Linked DNA regions of Danio rerio. The protein of the gene in region 1 interacts with the protein of each later gene in a pairwise test. Links are inferred from orthologs where the notes say so. Each region holds a gene or a part of one and is shown on either strand. Other genes may lie near its edges.

Region 1 (3,957 bases):
GATTGTTAGTGGCCCGATCAAGCATGTGCTGCCTTGTCACTAAAGTTTAATTTGGCTGTGACTGTCATTGCGTGCAAACAGGGTGCTTTCACACTTAAACGTTTGTTTTGGACCCTGTCTTGCTAGCCCAGTTAGCATGGTTCGTTCGACATATGTGAATCCCGCAATTGCGCTCAGATCCACGCCAAAACAATCACTCCGAGATCGATTGTAATGAGAAAGCAAAATGATCCAACAAACTAACGAACCAGACTATTTGTGTATTATGGTTGTGTAATAGTCATGGCTATATAAAATGAGAATTATGAGTAGGGCCGGATGTCATTCCTACTGGCAAATGTGTATTTTATGTCGAATATGAAAGTGAAGCATGCTGAAATAGAGAGCTGTTTATTTGTTGGAAAAACTGTGACAAATTACCATCTGAGAACTTTTCCATATGTTAATCTTATAAGATTTTGCATTAGGCCTATTGTTTTGGTTATTTCTGCACTGACAACTAGAAAGAAAGATCAATATTGAATATCAATATATCAGTTCATCTGTTATTTCTCTCTATAATTTAAGCATATATTTATTTCCAAATTTATTTACATCACAGTTGTATTTTTTAAAATTGTCAGTTGTATTCAAAGAAAAGTTATGCTGAAGTTATGTTTGGCTTTTGACACGTTATTTAAAATATGTGGCTAAGAAATAGTTATTTACTACTTTTTTTGGTGGGACCAGTGAAAATTTTGGTTGGGCAAATAAAAATCGGAACCACCAGTGGAAAAAAAATTGTTAGCGTTGAACCGTCTGGCCTTAATCACAGTATGAATTTTTTTATGAATAATTGGGAAATTATTTAACCATAAAATCACCATATGAATAGAAGTTCCCTTGTGAATCAAGTAAATCACAAAGATAATTAATGTCTTTTTCATGCCAATTCTGATTAAAAATCGATTTATTCTTTACTAAGATGCTTTCGTTGTTTCATAGCTTCACTTTGTGCAGGAAAAAATTGTAAACGAAACATAACTTCCATGCCAAAAGAGCCTGTTCATGAAATTTAGAGAGGTTTATAGGGAGTTTTGATGGAGAAAAACTACAAGTTAACAAAAATCTGAGACCACCAATCTGTTTATAAATATTATGTGGCATAAAGTAATCTTACTCGTACTTACGCTTCACGTCTGCGTCTTGTTTGCGCAGCTTTACAGTTGCTTTCTCCCCCTGCAGTTCAAACCCGTGCATGCGCATGCCCTACCCATTGTAGTTGCACTGAAGCACAACTCTGTAGTTTGAACCCGGCGCGAGGCAGCCAATCAGAACGTAGGTTTTTGTCTCGCGGAGGGCCGCTGCATGTTCTCTCATCATGGTGAGTCCAGCTAAATACACAGTTTATTCACATAAACGCAACGCTGTCGTGTTCTGGCGACTACCTAGCACACGTTTAAACAACAACCCGTGTTTTCGCTTTGGTTAAAGACAGTTGCTGTGAAGAAATGGATGTAGCGTAGACGAAATAAAGACTGGTTAGCATGTAAGCTAATGTGAATGAGTGGTTGCTGCTAATGCTAAAGCTAATGTGCGTTTGAATGAAGGTTTGGATGTGTTATTGTGTTTATTAAAGCACATGTGTTAAATGTGTCACATCTAATAGTGTCAGACGTTTCTGTATGGAAGCTGCTTGTGTAGGATAATCATTTGCTTTACTGACTGCATAGATGTTTATGCTGTGTTAGAGTAACTAACGTAGAGAACATAAACTCTTATCACGCTGAAAATATTAAATAAAGTAATTGAGTTTAATCACAGACAGTCCATCTGCTCCTGGCGAATTGAGATGTTAGTCGACTAATCAAACTTTAATAAAACTCTTAAATTAATCGAACTTGAGTGGCAGTTGATTAAACTCATATCTTCCGTGATTGTGTTGTTAAAGACTAATAAAATCATATGGTTATTATGATACTGAGCAGATTACTGGTTTTCTGTACATGTAAGAATACTAACTAAAGGTTATAAGCTGGTTTGGCTGGAACATTTGATATTTTCTGTCATTAGAATAGACTTGGGGAGGATCAGTCACAGATCAGTGATGCTCAGCATCTTTATCAGCACTTGTTTCTCTATTTGATGATTTTGGTAACTTACTGTCTTATGAACGCTTTATGACTGTTCCTTCATTCATTAATTTTCTTTTCGGCTTAGTCCCTTTATTAATCACAGCGTAATAAAGCACCAACTATTCCGGCAAATGTTTTGCGCAGCGGATGCCCTTCCAGCTGCAACCCATCACTGGGAAACATACACGCTCATTCACGCACAGACAATTTAGCCCACCTAATTCACCTACACCACATGTTTTGGACTTCTGGGGGAAACCGGAGCACCTAGAGAAAACCCACGGAGAACATGCAAACTCCATACAAACGCCAACTAACCCAGCCGAGGCTCGAACCAGCGACCTTCTTGCTGTGAGGCGATTGTGCTACCCACTGTGCCACCGTGTTGCCCCATCACTGTTCATGACTTTTCTATCCCTTTCAAAAAATACTGTTTTTAGAGCTTTTTCCACACATTTAATGCATCTGGCTAAAAGTCATATACAATACAATCCAATAAATGTAAAGGAATCAGCATTATTGCTGGACGGCATTGACATTCATGATCAAACTATAATAATAAACCTATTCATCTAATTGTTCAGCAAAGAAATCCTATTGTTCCGTGTAGGCATGGGCTGGTATAAGATTCTGGCTGTATGATAACCTTTTATAAAAATGTCACTGTTTTCTAGTATCCGCTTGTTAAGTTGTGATGGATGGACCATTATGAATGAAATGGCAAAGCGCTAATAATTTTCAGTAATAACCAATGGATTTTTTTTTCACTTGCACCATTAAAATTTAAATTCAGTTGTTTCATTCATTCTTTTTCCTTTCGGCTCAGTCCCTTTTTTAATCCAGGGTTGCCACAGCGGAATGAACCGCCAACTAGTCCAGCACATTTTTTTACCCTGCCCTTCCAGTCGCCACCCATCTGTGGGAAACATCCACACACACACTCATTCACACTCATTCACTACGGAGAATTTAGCTTACTCAATTCACCTGTACTGCATGTCTTTGGACTTTGGGGGAAACCGGAGCACCCGGAGGAAACCCACGCAAACGCAGGGACAACATGCAAACTCCACTCAGAAATGCCAACTGACCCATGCGAGGCTCGAACCAGCGACCTTCTTGCTGTGAGGCGACAGCACTACCTACTGCGCCACTGCGTCCCCTCAGTTATTTCTTAGTCACACATTTTAAGTAATGTGTCACAACCTGCAAACTCTATTTATAAACATATAATTTAGCATAACCTTTTTTTAAAAAAAGTTTTAAAAGCTATAATAAACTAAATTTATGCTCAACATAAATTTATGCATAAAAGCATGGAGAACTTTTAAACACCAGGTCTCACTGGAAGAAGAGACAGTACTGTCTCAATTTAATCTCCTGGCTAAATAAAGGAAATAATAATAATAACAATAAAAAAAACATGTTATCTTAAGGAAGACAAAACATATTGTTAAATAGTTAATAAATGTTAAATTTGTTAAACTTTTTTTGATAGATTTGTTGGTTTTACCGATTGGCCATAGCTTTACATGGACAATTAGGGAAAACTAAGACCTGAAGACCCACAACAGCATATTTAAGTGAATTTAATACTTTTCATTTTTTTTTTTGAGAAACATTTCTATTTTGGAGCTGTAAACATATCAGGCTGGATAATGAAAATGAGTCAATAACTTCTGCTGTCTTCATTTGTTTCAAAAACAGATTTCTTTACAATTAAATCGTCATCTTTGGATATCTTTTCTACTAGAGATACTGTTGTCCTAAAAAAAACTTTTTAAAAAGTAAATAGAAAAATCATATACATACCTTAGGAACAGTATTGCTGAATATTTTGGCG
Region 2 (3,500 bases), on another chromosome or scaffold:
ATTTTTTTTTTTAAATATTTCCCAAATTATGTTTAACAGAGCTAGGAATTTTAACAGTATTTCCTATAATATTTTTTCTTCTAGGCTTATTTGTTTTGTTTTAGCTAGAATAAAAGCAGGTTTAAATATTTTGAAACCCATTTTAAGGTCAATATTATTAGCCACCTTAAGCAATATATTTTTTGATTGTCTGCAGAAAAAACTACTGTTATACAATGACTTGCCTTATAACTCTAAGTCTTTGAATTGCACTTTAATCTGAATGCTTGTATTTTGAAAAATATATAGTCAAATATTATTTACTGTCATCATAGCAAAGATATCAAAGAATCAGTAATTAGAAATGAGTTATCAAAACTAATATGTTCAGAAACAAGTTGAAAAAATCTTTCCATTAAACAGAAATTGGGCAGAAAAAGGGTTGCTAATATTCAGGAGGGCTAATATTTCTGACTTCAAATATATATATATAGTTATTTTCCACTCTCCAAAGGAAAGAGAAATAAATACAACAGAATAAAAATATGAAACAAACTGTGCTTTAAGCATCTTCACTGTAAGAAAAACACTTTAGCTACAAAAATCCTTCAGTCAAGAGCAGTGAGGGATTTGCTCGTTTTGTTTGATTAATGATAAAAACAGGCGGCAGCAGTAACATTGCGCGCTGTCTCTTCAATGGTTTCTCTTTCACGCTTCTTTTGATCCTCAACTCGTTTGTTTATTACACAAATGAGGGTTAATATGAATAATCACTGAACACAGCGTTTTGACACCTATTTGACCTTTAAAGCGCTCGCGTTAAGATGACTTTAGATATCTGCGTTCCTCTGCTCGTCTTAGTGTGTGAATGAGACCGAATGCTGACCGGCCGCATGCTTTTGGCTGTGTGTGCTTGCCGCTCTCACACAAGCACACGGTGTTTTGCGCTTTTAAGAGCAACAAACGTGAACAGCTGAAAGGGGGCGGTATATGATGCAATAATCGTTTATCTTGATTAATGGTTTTTCATAATTGTTTGAAGCCAAAATGGAAATCGCATTTTCGATTAATTGCACAGCTCTACCCCAAACATTATGTTGCCAAATGTTTAAATTGTTGAAGTGCTCAGTCACATGCAAATGATAAACCTTCACTCTATTGTGGTTAAAATTAGCAGTGACTCTACAAATCACGTGTTCTGTAGCTCCTCTTGAACTATAATTCAGACTCAACATTGCAAATCTTGCAGATACACACATTGCAATATTGATGCTGAAACGATATATTGTGCACTATACTAAACATGCGTTGTACAGTGCTGATATACAGCCATACCACACTGCTACAAGTGTGATATTGCGTTTATACAACAGTTCAACGGCACAATCTTGTACATAAAGTAGAAAATCAAACACAGTCTAAAACCCTTTTGCATTAGGAACTACTTTTTTCAGCCGTTCATTCACATCTGCAGCTGACGTCAGAAAAGCAGAAGCCGTTACTAATTCACCAATGTCACTTTAAAGCTAGTATTTGAATTATTTGAATGACCTCCTTAAAGTGATGACAAAACAGCAAATTTTGCTCACATTTTAAGATCATAAGGCTGAACGTGACATGAAATGTCATCAGTCTACAGAGATTTCTCCCTACAATCTACTGTATTTCTGTTGCCATGGGTATTGTGACGGGTGCCAGGTGTCCCAGCGTTTACCCAGAGACTTTAAGGAATAAAAAGAAGAGACAAACTATTTTGCTCTTCCTATTGGCCTTGAAAAGGGAAAAAGAAAATGATGATACTTAAAAAAAATAAATAAAAAAAGACGCTCAAACATCCAATGTTTTAAGATTATATTGATTTAAGAACCAGACAGAACTGTTGTATAAATAAATAAATTAATTAAATTCATTTAAATATATATATATATGTCAACAAATTTGAGACACTGCTCGCTGCAGAGCCACTTGGGCTCCAATGAGGCGATCTCTCTCTCTCTGCTAATTTTATAAATATTGGATTCAAAAGTTCTTAATCTGCGCGTCACGTGAGTTCCGTGGGTTGTGATCTTTACCCATGGTATATTGTCAAAACAAACTTTTATTTTGGATGCGATTTATCATGATTGATTTTTACTTTGCAAAATTATTTTTTCGTTTATGTAACAATTTTAGTAATCTTATGTGATTGAGGAAAAACTATTAAAATCAAAATGCTAAATTTCAGAGTTGCAGAAACCTTTTTTGTTAATTGTTTCTGATCTTTAACTAGATTTTTTATACCAGAATTTTCGCTCATTAACAGCATATACTCTGATTTACAAAACTATATTATCCAAGTAAAAAATTATTAATATTTTTTTTTATCATACAGAAGTATAAAAAAGGAGGACGGCAAAGTGTTTCAGAATGGCAAGAACCACAGCCGGTCCCGATCTCGCTCTACGTCTCGTTCTCCACACAGACAGTAAGTTCTCTTCTCTTCATGATGCTGTTGTTATTCATGCACATCAAGGGAACATTTAAAACCAAATCAATGATCTGTTCTCCCCCAGTCGAAGGAGCCACTCAGGAACGTACAGCTCTCACAGCAGCCACAGTCCGTCTCCACGTCAAAAAGCCAGAAGACCGTCACCCATCAGCCAACTCAGGACAGACCGAGACCGACCCAGCGAAACCAGCCGTCACTCTAACAAGAGGAGGAGGTCACGGAGCAGATCTCGCAGCAATTCAAGAGAAAGAGTCCGCGATCGTGACTACATCAAACACAAACAGGAGGGCAGCGGCTCAGGGCACCACTGGGACCATCGGGACCGTGAGCGTGACCGTTCACGTGATCATGGACGAAACAAGCGCCAGAGCCGATCACATTCTGGACACAGTCATAGCAGACACAGGAGATGAAGCACAATTATGGACAACAGGACAAGACTAACGCTTGCTTCGAAACGCTGTTGTTTATTAACTGGTTAAGAAGTGGATGTTCTATCAATGTTACTCTTCTTGCATCTGACCGGTTCAGTTGGGCAAGGTAGTGGTGCCTTTTTATGTATTTGACAATTTAAAAAAGTGTTTTACTTTAAACTTGAAAGTGAACAACAGACGGACTGATCAAAATCTGCCTCTATCAGGGAACACATTCGCACAGAGCAGACGATACCTGTGCATGTTCAATGTCTTTTCTTTTTTTCATCAAATGTACATATAAAGCCTATTTTTATGATGTCAGGAGACTTTGTATTCATCTTTCTCTGCAGAAAATAAAAAGGATATAACATTCTACAACTTCATGTGTGTGATTTACTTTGATGTAATAGGGGATGCGCGAAATGACCTAAATAGAAAACCTTGATTAATTGAACAATACCTTGATTTCGAAAGAATAGTGGTTTTATTTTTAAGGTAATTGTTTACTTGTCACTCCCCCACTGTAGTTCATTATGGTGGATTGAGAAAGACAACATACTGTTATTCTACATAAATGTATTATTCTTATGTCTTCTGAGACGAATTACTATATCCAT

What was found. The genes of interacting proteins can lie anywhere in the genome.
Region 2: the proteins of prpf40a (region 1) and ccnl1b interact in binary tests that used the Homo sapiens proteins (3 or more experiments, as listed by UniProt). The link is inferred for Danio rerio from reciprocal best matches to the Homo sapiens genes PRPF40A and CCNL1.

What each region holds. Positions count from the first base shown.
Region 1 is NC_133184.1:4,681,951-4,685,907, forward strand, and holds the start of prpf40a (pre-mRNA-processing factor 40 homolog A), read left to right. Parts: upstream 1-1,157; 5' UTR 1,158-1,360; coding exon 1,361-1,363; intron 1,364-3,957.
Region 2 is NC_133177.1:39,643,060-39,646,559, reverse strand, and holds the end of ccnl1b (cyclin-L1), read left to right. Parts: intron 1-2,350; coding exon of another isoform or gene 2,351-2,353; coding exon 2,354-2,443; intron 2,444-2,531; coding exon 2,532-2,880; 3' UTR 2,881-3,258; downstream 3,259-3,500. UniProt on the Homo sapiens protein: Involved in pre-mRNA splicing. Functions in association with cyclin-dependent kinases (CDKs). Inhibited by the CDK-specific inhibitor CDKN1A/p21. May play a role in the regulation of RNA polymerase II (pol II).